Linked DNA regions of Drosophila melanogaster. The protein of the gene in region 2 purifies or fractionates together with the protein of the main gene of each other region. This does not show direct contact. Each region holds a gene or a part of one and is shown on either strand. Other genes may lie near its edges. The genes, in order: rod and Zw10.

The links.
Region 1: the proteins of Zw10 (region 2) and rod purify together in Drosophila melanogaster (affinity purification with western blotting; 5 studies listed by BioGRID, with this or other methods). This does not show direct contact.

Annotation. Positions count from the first base shown.
Region 1 is NT_033777.3:31,579,199-31,587,067, reverse strand, and holds the start of rod (rough deal), read right to left. Parts: upstream 6,118-7,869; 5' UTR 6,046-6,117; coding exon 5,950-6,045; intron 5,888-5,949; coding exon 5,550-5,887; intron 5,461-5,549; coding exon 5,113-5,460; intron 5,053-5,112; coding exon 4,853-5,052; intron 4,789-4,852; coding exon 4,580-4,788; intron 4,525-4,579; coding exon 3,824-4,524; intron 3,764-3,823; coding exon 2,496-3,763; intron 2,435-2,495; coding exon 2,040-2,434; intron 1,980-2,039; coding exon 1,471-1,979; intron 1,413-1,470; coding exon 1,043-1,412; intron 986-1,042; coding exon 721-985; intron 651-720; coding exon 1-650. Other genes in the region: pygo (pygopus), read left to right, coding at 7,438-7,869.
Region 2 is NC_004354.4:2,602,656-2,607,454, reverse strand, and holds Zw10 (Zeste-white 10), read right to left. Parts: upstream 3,259-4,799; 5' UTR 3,153-3,258; coding exon 1,803-3,152; intron 1,742-1,802; coding exon 926-1,741; 3' UTR 631-925; downstream 1-630. Other genes in the region: Smyd3 (SET and MYND domain containing, class 3), read left to right, coding at 1-193, 259-629; Klp3A (Kinesin-like protein at 3A), read left to right, coding at 3,857-4,536, 4,610-4,761. UniProt on the Drosophila melanogaster protein: Essential component of the mitotic checkpoint, which prevents cells from prematurely exiting mitosis. Required for the assembly of the dynein-dynactin, Mad2 complexes and spindly/CG15415 onto kinetochores.

The DNA.
Region 1 (7,869 bases), on a different chromosome or scaffold from region 2:
ACCATCACCCGCAGACTCCATAGTCAGAGCGAGCCACTTCTGTAGCAGGCGGTACTGGATGGTGGCTAAGCAGAGGTCGTGCAGCTTGGCTATCTCTGCGACCAGAGCGTTAATATCCACTTTGCTGGACTTGAGGATCAGCTCATGGTGGTAGAGCGCCTGAATAAGCTCGGTGGGGTTCTCAACTTGGCGCAGTAGCTTCTCATCGGTCAGGCCATAGACATACAGCAGGTGCTGGGTCTTCTGAATAGGATACCGTCGCTTCACCTTGGCAACCTGCTCGCGACTCTTTGGATCTGTAATCAGGTGGCCCTTCTCCTTGACAAACTTCCAGCACTCGTAGGAGGCCTCCACCTGATCGGCTCCATCACGAGCATAGTTGGACACGAAGTACAGTATTAGAAATGCCTTGTTTGGGTTGTTCACCTTCTCGACCAGTCGTAGTATTGACTGCAGGAAGGCATTATTCGTGGGATGAAGACTCCATGATTCCGAATCATTTTTCGACTTGTACTCCGATATCGAATTCTTTACTGCTGACATGCAGAAGTAGTCACAGTTCTGGGAACTATCCTTGGATCCCTTCAAAGCCGTGTACATCTGAATCAGTGGAAACCAGCTTTGGCAGTTGTCCACGTTTAGTTCGCTGTCTGAATAGAAGAAGCGGAAACTATAATTAAACAGAAGCATTAAGCATTAAACTATTTCAGTTGAATATACCAAGAATATCCTTAAGAGGTTGCTCTACGATGGGCTTAAAAGGCAGACGATATCGAGATATCTTCGGCATAACGCCATTTTCCCTTTGTGATTTCAGCCACGTGTCGGTTTCCACCTGACCTGGCCGATTGCGTCTTCTGGTGATCATCTTGTGTCTCAGGAAGTGCAAAATGTTCATCCAGATTTCCATTTCCTTCGGAGCCGAATCGAAGTACATTAGGATGTTGATCACACACATGTACAACTCGTAGAAGTAAATGTTGATCTAAACGATTTGCAAAGATATTAAAAAAAAGATTATTTGTGGCATCAGTGAGCTTACGTCTTCAATAAAGTGTTTTAACTTGGAAGTAAAGAGCTCGACATTATTGATTTCATTAATGTACGGTTGGCACATATCGCGCATTTCCTGGGCGCTGCTTAGCATAACCAGTTCCTCGTCGCCGAAGGTATCCCTCTTCACCTCGAAGCGCAACTCCTGGGCGCTCAATATGCTTAGTATCTGGGTAATAAGAATCTTTTGGTAGTCGAACCCAAAGTCCTTGCTCATGCGTTCCAAAAGCTGAACGTCAAGTTGCTTATTGTGAAACTCCTTAAGCAGGTCCTCTATGTTGTCCATGTCGGCATTGAACTTGCCCTTTATTCTATGATCCTGTTGGCAAAACTCCAGGTAATAGAAGAGTTTCAATCTCCTGCAAACCAATAAAACGAAGTTTAACATCTAGACTTTTAATGTAATACTTCACTTACTTGGTGCGTATCATGTGCACACTGTCCAAGTCTTCGATATGCTCGTGGTACATGGCGGATAGTGTCAGGAAGTTGATTTTTTGCAGATCGGTCTTTACTTCAACGGAGAGCTTCTCCAGCAGCGCTAGTGCCTCGCTGTCCACCACCAACATGGTGAAAAGCTCTATGAAGTTCACATCTTTGCTCCCCATCGCATTTCGGAATATGCGGCGCAGCTGCAGCGTAATAAAGCCCTCGTTGATGATCCGCTTCGTGCGACAGTTTTGCTTCTGGAAATCCAGCAGATATTGCGACATAACGTACCAAGCGTCGTGCTCCTTCACCTTCGTCAAGTGCTCCAGTGACAGAAAGAAGTCAGCGCAAGCACTTTCGACATCCGCTTTTGTGTTCTCCGGCAGTTCATTGCGAACCTGCATCAGCAATGAGTTGTTTGGCTCCGTTTCGATTACCATAAGCAACAGAGTGCGAGCCAAGAACTTCACTATTGCCATGCGACCTCCGACGCTTTTCTTCGAAGACAACAGAAAGCATTATAACTATAGTCAATTATAGCTGTCTACGATCAATACCTTCTGAGGCTGCTGCTGGATAGGCTGCACTTCTACTTCATCAAACATGGACACCGAGTAGCGCTTCTTCGTAGTCGTTGGAACCGTCAGAGTCTTCACGTCAAAGGATCCGTTAAGAGCACAACTGAAGTTTATTGTGGTTTCGCCCAGGGCTACCGAAATCCCATCGAGGGCCCGGCAGATGTGCTCGTTGACGGCCTGCTCCTTGCCGTCGTAGTGACTCTTAATGGCGTCTAGCGGGTAGTGGATTACGGCCACGCGTATGTATTTGATGAGTTCAACTAGATCGTGACGACGGCTGCTCTCGTGGAGCAGGGCGGAGGTGAGCAACTCGTACGCTAAATAAAAGCTAAGCGGATCGTTTTCATTGATCAACTGCAGGGAGGAGGCCGTTTCTGCAAAACATAAATGGATTTTTCGTTCAATCCCATTGTTGCATAGCTGTATACGACTTACCCTGATTCTTTCCCTTGGCGCTTTCAATTTGCTGAACCAGCAGCTCAAGTGCAAGATTGACGAACTCGCCTGCATTGGCGGGCACACAGTCGACGAAGCTTACAACATGATAAGCGAGGGCGCAGCTGAGGGGCAGGCATCCAATGCGTTGGCAAATGCGGTGCAAACCAAATACTTTCGGAAGACCGAGAGCGGTACACAGTTCGCTTATTTCGCTGGCTATGAATGCGGACACATTCAGCGTGGCCTGGGCCCGCTCAATTATCCTTTCAATGGCCTCATCCAGAAGGCAATGACGTCTGTGCAGCGGTATCAGCTCGCTGCTGCAGCTCAAAAGGATGCCGAATTTCCTTAGGCGGAAACGATGCTTGATCACTAGGTAGCGGCGCTCATAAACGGACTCAACATGCGGCAAGAACAACTTAAAAAGCTCAAGGACGTTCAGGTGCTCCTGCACTTTAATATCACTTTCAAACGAAGCAGAGGAGCTGTTCTCCAAGATGTTAGCCATGATCTCCACCACTTCCTTCGCGCTCTTCGAATTTTTCTCACCATTCAGCTTTTTGAAGAATTCATAAGCCATCTCAACTTGTCCTCTCCGTGCCATTTGATAGCAGCAGTTAAAGTTGGCACTAGTTGATAACTCCGGCGCCGCCTTGGTGAGGGCGCTGATGTCGTCCAGCATGTCCGGAAGGTTCAACTTCACAATGCGCATCATGAAAAGCTCCAGGTTGATATCGGAGCTGTCGGCCGGCCAGCCGTACTTGACCTTCATGATCTTAATCACCTGAATCTCATACTCGGCATTGATCTTCACGGCCAATGGATGAGTGGAGGCACGCAGCCGGATTAGAGGAGCTAGTGTATCAGGCCAGGGCACAGGTGCGTTTTGCAGCACAGACAAGGCGCACTCCAAACGGCTGTCTTCGTTGTGAAGCAGCTCAATGCAAGCCATCGCCCGATCCAGCCATGAACTAGAAGATAGCCGACTGGCTACTAACTGTGATATGTACTGTTTAATCACGTCCAGTGGCTGCCGTCCCTTCTCCTGGAAGATCGGGTACATGAAGTTCTTCACCAGACGCTGAAGCTTATCTAGTTGAACGTGTTGCAAAATGCTCAACGCAGTGGCGTCGATGGAATCCTGCATGTAGTTGTCCAGTGTAAAGCCCATGTTATAGTTGGTCTTAAGCACAGAAAGATCCTGCAGTGCGTTGACAAGATCCCGCAGTTTTCCAACGTTGCGCTCTTGCTGACGCCGCACATCGCTGAAACGGATATACAAGTTAAATCTATCATATTTTAGGGCGAAAAAAGGATTTGCCTACGAGTAAGTAAACTGGATTTCCTCAAAAATGTCCAGTATCTTTGTGCAGAACTCCAGGCCGATATCCGGCCAATGCGGACTATACTGCAGATTCCGCGTCATCTCAATACTCCAGTCAGTGATAAAGGGCATTATGCTAGGATGGGTGTTGCTGACCATCGGAATGAACTGACGCAACCACTGGACAACGTTGAAGGGCTTGGTGTTGCTCGGAATGAACCCTAAAAGCGTGCGCAACTCATCTTCGTTTAGCAGCGGCAGAATGCTGCTCGAATGCCGCCGCCAAATGAGACAAGCCGTGGGCATATCTGTGTTGAATAGCGACTTGACCATCCTGACCAAGTTGTTATCGTAAATAAACTTCTGCCAATCCGTGTTGCATTCGTAGGGATCTATTATGGCCAGAGTTTTAAGTCGGTGCAGTTGCTCGTCGATTTCCAACATATCCTCCTCGTCGTCCTCAAAAGTCAACCGCTTCTTGACCTCGTGAAGATACCGCTCAAGGATGTGCCTCGAGTTCAAGTTGATCATGCGATGGCTCTTTATGAATGCCTTACTTTCCACCTGAGACAGCAGTTGCAGCAAGTCTTGGAATTTAGTGTCCACGTTTTGTGAATTCGAGTTGCAAAGCTCGACCAAAATGCGTTTCGCTTTGGCTTCATAGATGGGCTGGAGGCACAGCTCAAACTGCTTGCCAAATTCCTGTTGCAAATGTTAATGGATAATGAATGACTAAGAGATCAATTATACTCAATACCTCAGCCTCCTCCAGTCGCCCCTTGCAAATCAGCTTCTTAAAACGATCACTGGGGTCGGTCTCGGAAACGAGCATCATCTCCACCACGGAGGGTATGCTGCTCTGGTTGACTTCCTTGGCAGCCAGATAATACAGATTGACCGCACACTTAGGCTGACGCACAAGCCATGCGTGATCAGGAACTTCTACCTCGTTCTTCACATTGAGCGCTGCAATGACACAAGGTTTTTAGCCTTACTGTATGTTTATGTTTTATGTTTGCTGGACTCATACTTGGGTACTCCACTATCTTAATGAAGCGTCCCTCCGCCGTTGATTTCGTCAGCACCAGAAGCTCAATGTTATCTTCGCTGCACTCCATAACCAGCAGATCCTCGATGAGCAGATTTTTTTGTTGGGTAGTTTGACACATGTACACTGTGCGAGTGTATGGACAAATCTCCACCAAGTGGCCGGAATCGGTGAGTGCGATACTGCAAAACCCAGATACACGTTAGAGGGATTCTAGCACCACAATAAGCAAACCCACTCACATATAGTGTTCCAAGTTGAAGATCTGCTTTAGGCTGCCGTACTGAGCGGGCAAATTTATTCGTGTCACGTCATTGGCTGCATTCCTAAAGTTCATAGTGCTTTGATCTCCAGTGATAACTAGACCGGGTTGCGCCTCCAGATCATCCTGATTGTTCTCGGCACTGATGTTGCCGGTCAGCAGCCGCTTGAGCAGCACTGCACAGTCCACGCTGCACGAGGATCTGCCCTTGGAAAGACGTTGAATGGTGACGTCCTCGAGCAGGGCCTTTTCGCAAGCTATAGTTTCGTTTTCATTCAGGCTCATATTGCCTAACGTTTCCAAGCAGGTCTCATCAATGTCGCTTAAGCTACACAGCGTTTGAATCGTTTAATGAAATAATGTCAAGATCCAGTTTTATCACGCATATGCCAGAGCCCATCTCTGTGAATGGCTTACCTATAGATGCTTCCATTCTTACAGGTGAAGTAAAACCGCTGATCCAGTTGATGGATGCTCCGGAAGGTCCCGCCAGTTAGGCTCACGTCCTCCAGATTGACGGCCACGCTGAACAGGAGCAGGCCCTTGATGAACACTCCGTGAACTTCGCCATCGCTGAGGCCGCATACAATCAGGTTGCCGCTTGAAGAAATGGCAATGGCCTCAATGGCTGCCCCGAATGCCAGAAAGCTGCACTTGGCCACCAGTTCGTCCTCCAGGAGCAAAAGGCTCTTGTCGATGCCAATGACCATCTTGCCGCACTGCACGGAGGCCATGACATCTGGATATTTGTTTACCTGACAATGAAAGAAGGCGAGCGTAGAAACCCAACTGCAGATTCTGCACAATAAGGACTCACTTCCTCTTCACTGCTTATTTGGAAGATGCCTCGCGACGAAAATATGTTGGAGATGGTTTCGTCCTCCAGGGAGGACGCCTCGAAGTTGCTCCACATTGCTGTTCAATCCGCTCTAGCCTAATGTGCAAAACCTGCCAATTTTAAACTCTTTATTTAAACACCGCCAATAAACAAGCGTCGCCTGAGAGTTTGCCGATAACATTACCCGCATATCGATAGACGATTGGCGGCATGAAGACACACTACGTATTGACCTTGGGGCTAATACGTTTACGCAATTTATATTTATTACTTAAATGACGTATGTCCAAATCGTAATTTCTCCTTTAAACCTATTACTTTTTAAATGTTAACGTAGTTGCAAACTACTTCGTGCTGGCTTGCTTTGGCCACACTGAGCCGCCGACGGAATTCCGGCATTTCTCTTGACGTGCGCAAACGGTCACACTGGCGGACTTGCAATGAAAATTATTTATATTTCGCTTCTTCGCACGCAAAAATTGGTCAAAATAAACAAAGGTTAATGTGCTGCTGCTATATAACGGTTCAGTGGTCAGTCCGCCGGACCGCCGAATCCGCGTAACGGTAATCCGTGCGTGTGCCGCTCCTATAAACGGCGCTAATTAAAAGTGGATGCTGCAGTGGCCATCAAATCAACAAAAAGCCAACCGAAAACGCAGGCTTCACAAATCGCGTAAACCCTAACACAATTTCCTTGGGAAATAACCGCCGGTTGTTTTGTTTTCCGATTAAAGACAAACGCAAAAAGAACCCGTAAATAAACAACAGTTAAGCGCTGCACTGCAATTAAAACGGAACGGGAAGCGCAGCGGAGGACATAAAATCGCTGGCAAGAAGAAGAGCGCTGCCAGAAAGCGCCCTTTGAAGGGTTTATGAAGGGGAATTAGTGGCAAACCGCAGTGCAGAGTGCTAAAAAAACGAACTCCTGACCTGAAGTGATCAAGGATCAGTAAGAAACTGAGAAGCGGCAGGTGCTTGGCGCTTTGAAACGAGACAACACGACGCTGGGTTTCCAGGGTAGAGTTGCCAACCCGAAAAATAAGCGGGGTTGCCGTTCGTTGCGCCGAAAGTGTTTACCTGCGTTTTGGGAGTCAGTTGCTTTAAAAACGCGATTTTCATAAGGGTCCTGGCCAGGAGATGTCTTGGTGAGTAGTTGAGGAGGACTGACCCACAGGATGCCAGATACTCATTTGGCACCCTTCACACTCCCAGGAACTCAAACTCCAGGCGGTCGCAGGCCGGATAACCGGCAGAAAGCCCAAGCCCACCAAGCATAACCCATTGTAGTTGGTCACCGAAGGATCCAGTGGATTTGTGCCCACCTCCCTAGGGACATCAGAACCAAACCCACTCCTTTACCAGCGTCGAGATCTCCTGCGCGGGATTGGCGACGCCGCTACAACCGAATTTCTTGCCCCACGCCGTTGAAGAAAAGCTGCCACCATTCGGAAGAAGAACACCTCGAATATGACCCACAATCTTGGTATGGCGCCATATCGATTGCCGGGTCCAGCGGGCGGACTCTGTCCGCCCGATTTTAAGCCGCCGCCTCCCACGGACATCATCTCGGCGCCGAGCAATCCGAAGAAGCGGCGAAAAACCTCAAGTGCCGCCAACTCCGCTGCAGCGGTGGCTGCGGCGGCGGCTGCAGCAGCTGCTGCGAATTCCATGCAGCAGCAGCAGGCGCCACCCACACCGCAGGATTTGCTGCCCCCTCCGCCAATGGGAGGCTTCGGAGACACCATTATTGCCTCGAATCCATTCGACGACAGTCCCCAGGTGTCGGCGATGTCCAGCTCAGCGGCCGCGGCGATGGCGGCCATGAATCAGATGGGCGGCGGACCAGGAGGTGGTCACTTTGGCGGCGGTGGACCGGGTGGGCACCCGCACTGGGAAGAC
Region 2 (4,799 bases):
TGCACGGATGCCAAGGAATCGAAGGAGATGCTGGCTGCCCTGTGTCCCAATCGCAACTGCGGTGCGGGAATCAGTGTGGACCGCAATAATTGCCCGCGATGCGATGCCGGCATCAGTCCCAAGTTGAGAAATGCCTTCAACGAGGCGATGACTCTGACCCGGCACAATCTGGAGAACATGAAGGACGTGGCCTGTGAGTAGATGCGACGAAATGGAATTAGCTCCATAATAAGCACATTTTCACTCTCTCGATCACAGATCTCGATGTGTGCAAGGTGTGTCTGGACAAGCAGACTGGCGTGTTCCATCCCCTGAATGTGTGGTACGTCAAGACGCTCGATGCGGCCTTCGAAGCAGCCATCGAAGTGGGCAAGTGGAGCGACGCCCTGGATTACGGGCAACGTTTGCTGCCAGGCTTTCGAAAATACCACGGACCCTGGAATCCGCTATTGGGCCTGCTTCACATGAAGCTGGGCAAGATTCAGCTCTACGAGGGCCATTCCAAGGAGGCACTGCACCATCTGGAGGAGGCCCAACGCATCCTAACCGTCACCCACGGCCGAGATCACAGACTGCTTACTGAGCAGCTATACATGCTCGTTCTACAAGCGCGACAAGAGGCGCACTAATGGGATTTAGTTGTTTTTATTCATTTAAATAAGTCTTAAGTTAAATATTGTGTTGCGTTGCGGGAAGAATGGAATGGATTTTTGTGGATAATTACTTTTCTATGTACAACAGAAACCATTCGGAGAATTAAAGATTATCAAATTCTATTACTTTTGGCATTTGTGGTAAACAATTCAAGGAATTAAAGTAAGGACACATTGATGGTGATCATCAAATTTAGACTCCGTTTACCACCTCAAATGTGATGTCTATCCGCCGTTCAACATTCCTCGCTCGCAAAAAAGGCGCACGCGCCCTATACAATCTGCGTAATGGCCTTGGCCCGCCAATCCGTATCCTGGAACAACGCCCTGATTAGGTGCTTTATCTCATCCGACTTGTAGCTGGCGGTCAGCGGGCCGACGCCGTCGCCCCACAGCTCTGTGATCTCCATGAGCGACGCGTTCAGCATGGCCTTCAGTTGCTGCAGCTTAAGCCAAGAGAGCACCTGGACCACCTCGTTTGGTTCGCGGAAAAGCGTGGGCGCCCGCTGGAGCACCACGTCAATGAGATCGCTCAGCTCACAGGCCATCTGTGCGGAAATGTCGCGCAGCGTGAACACTCGACGGATTAGCTCGGCGACAAATGTGTTGATTAGCTCGCAGAAGGTTGCATTGTACACGGTCTCCGGGAGCACATTGGCCCACACGTTCTTCAGCAGCTCCAGCTGGCGAAGGCACTGACGCACCAGCTTCAGTGGACCAGAGCCCAGCGTGTGCGTGCTCTCGAACTCGAACTCCTGCATGATGCCCATCAGGATGGAGGATTGGTAGTCGACCTGCACGCGGAAATGCTGCTGACCGGTGGCCTGCAGTGTCTTGGCCAGCGCCGCCAAGCTTTCGATGCCCTTGTTCGCATGCTGCGCTACCCAGTGTGTGAAGAACATACAATTGTTGTGGAACAGGACGGCCTGCTGTGGAATGCTCTCGAGCAGCTTGCGGTGCACCTTGGGCACCTCATTGATGTAGGTGTGCAGCATGATGGAAATGACGCCGGCTATGGGATCGGCCTCTTGGTCGCCCAGTTTATCCGTGGGCTGGCGAAGAATGCGGTCCATTAGTTTGACAAAGTCCTGCCGGCGAAAATGAATCCATTAGTGCGTAATCAATCGTTTCGTTTAGCGAACGACTTACCTGAGCACTTTTCGAGATCATGCAGCGTGGGAAGAGGAAGGGATCGTTTGCCACTTCGGCTGAGTGGTTGTTGGGCGCCACCAGCACCATGTCCTGCAGATCGCGCTGGATGATCTCCCGCGCCGTTTCCAGAACTCGACGATACATCCGATTGCGGTAGTAGGTCTCGTACTTCTCTACAAACTGCCCTAGGGCTCGATCTTGCTCGGGATTGATGATGAATGAGTCTACAAGCAGCTGCTCCAGCTGGGCGACATCCTCACACAGCGTGGATGTCTGATACTCCTCCGTGCTTTCGGGCACAGCTGGTATCAGGCACTCGTCCACCAGTAATTTCAGCATTTTATCCTTCACATGATCGCCAATAATGCCAAAAACATGTTGGTCCCTGGACACACTGCAGTTGATCCCGGCCAGCGTGTGCAGCAGCAGCCTGAGGTTCTCCAAGACCTGCTTGTAGTTCGGGCGAAGCTGCGCTGAGCTGGGCTCCTTGGTGGCGTAGGAAAGCGACAATCGAACGTAGGTGCCACCATCGGCTTCTTCGCTGTAATCGGCCATCACTGGGCGCATGATCACCGGTTCTATGCAATTGTCCAGCAGGAATTCGCAGAGGCGCGCCGGATTGTAGGGCTCCTGGAAGAGAGCCTGCACAATATCCTGCAGCTGCGTTTGATCCCGGCTCACCTGCAAGGTGACGCAACGCGATGTGGGAAAGGATTTGCACTGCAGCTGCACCAGGCGATCGAAGCGCTCCTGGAGGCTCTGCTGCAGCATATATGCCTGTACATGGTATTTCACCTTGATGGTCTCGTAGCACTCGAGAGCCTTAAAGATGCGTCGAACCTCTGGCGTGGCCACCTGCGCGTCCCCGTCAACGGAATCATCGCCATAGATGAAAGCCCTCAAACGACCGACAAGGTCCAGTAACACCAAGTAATCCTTGGTGGCCTTGGCCTCCTCCACGCACTGGAACAGCTCGTCGATCCTTAGCACATGCTCGCTGACACCCAGACCCAAAAGGATCTCTCGCAGCTGCCTGCCGTTACCCGCCATCTTGACATTCGCCTCGTCCAAGGCGTCCAGTCCCTCGGAACCCAAGTTCTCGAGCATGTCGTGAATCTCGCGATTCAAGGACCCCGACTCCTCCAGAAATATGTCCGGCGACGTGTTGTTGGGCAAAAACTCCGTGTAGTTGTCTTCGATGTGCTTGCGGACGCGCATCTGGAAGCGATTAACGCGCGTCAGCACTTTTAATATGGCCGATTGGGTGGCCTCCACGTTGGCGCACCCGTTCCCATTGCCGTTGAACGCCTCCTCCAGCACATTGAACCGCGGCGCCTCTTCCTCCATGTCCTGCTCTTTGACCAGATCCTCCTTTTCCAATTCTTGCGAAACCCAAGACAACTGGTTTCTGCAATTCCCTGTTGCTACCAACGATTGTTCAAAAAAGCGATAGATATGTGCGGCTGTCTGCTATCGGCTATCGGCGAATTGGCTAGTTGACAAGAATTGGGCTCTTATCACTGGCAGTAGCTAAAATAGTTGTAGATCTAGGTAGCTTTTATTTTTATGTATAAGTATGTAGATACACTGTCAATGATTCATTTTGTCAAATCGGCGTGCACAAATCGTCCAACCACATTTTTGCAAATGTGCTATTCAAGAGCCAAATTATAAAAAAATCGAAATCTTTCTACACCGGCACCTCCGTCGATCGCGCCACTAATCGACATCTGCAACGAATCGATAACAACGCCATTTTTAAAAATACTGGCAGAAATGCATTTGCTTCTTAGCGTCGCGTTTCATTAGTTTAGTTCCTTGATCCAAAAATCGAATTCATTGAGAGTGCCGGGCTGCGCGTGGAGAAGCCGCGTTGCTCCAAAATCTAGACCAACCAAAATTCTAAGTTTTTGTAAGTGCTAACCAGTTGATCAGTTAACCAAAGTCGGACTTGCTGTGCCCCAGAGAAGGTAAGTGGTTGGTGGTGTTGGTCGAGATGGCGGTAAAGGTGATGGAATGTTATGATTGTCCTTCCCTCCCCCTACCCCCAGATGTCCAGCGAGGATCCCAGCTGTGTGGCAGTGGCCTTGCGCGTGCGCCCCTTGGTGCAGTCCGAGTTGGATCGCGGCTGCCGGATTGCCGTCGAACGATCGGCGGATGGAGCGCCACAGGTTACAGTCAACCGGAATGAGTCGTATACGTACAACTATGTCTTCGACATTGACGACTCGCAAAAGGATCTATTCGAGACGTGTGTACAGGCCAAAGTGAAAAAGCTGTTAAATGGCTATAACGTAACAATCTTGGCATATGGACAAACGGGTTCCGGAAAGACCTACACTATGGGCACCGCCTTCAACGGAGTGTTAGATGACCATGTGGGCGTTATACCACGCGCCGTTCATGATATATTCACAGCCATTGCGGAAATGCAGAGCGAATTTCGTTTTGCTGTCACATGCTCTTTTGTGGAGCTCTACCAGGAGCAGTTCTATGACCTTTTTTCGTCGAAAACTCGGGACAAGGCCACCGTAGACATCAGGGAGGTCAAGAACCGTATTATCATGCCGGGCCTCACCGAGCTAGTGGTCACATCCGCCCAGCAAGTGACCGATCATCTGATCCGCGGCTCAGCCGGACGGGCTGTGGCCGCCACGGCTATGAATGAAACCTCTTCAAGATCCCATGCCATATTCACATTGACGCTAGTAGCCACCAAGCTGGACGGCAAGTATGTTGTGGGCCGCCATCACCTCGTTAGAATACTTAATGCTTATACACATTTGACCTCCAATCTCCGATAGGCAATCCGTTACCACGTCCAGGTTCAACCTGGTGGATCTGGCTGGTTCTGAACGCTGCTCAAAGACCCTAGCCAGCGGCGATCGGTTCAAAGAGGGTGTGAACATCAATAAGGGTCTTCTGGCCCTGGGCAACGTGATCAATGCCCTGGGATGTGAGTATCTATCATTTAGCCACTGGCTTGAAAATTGA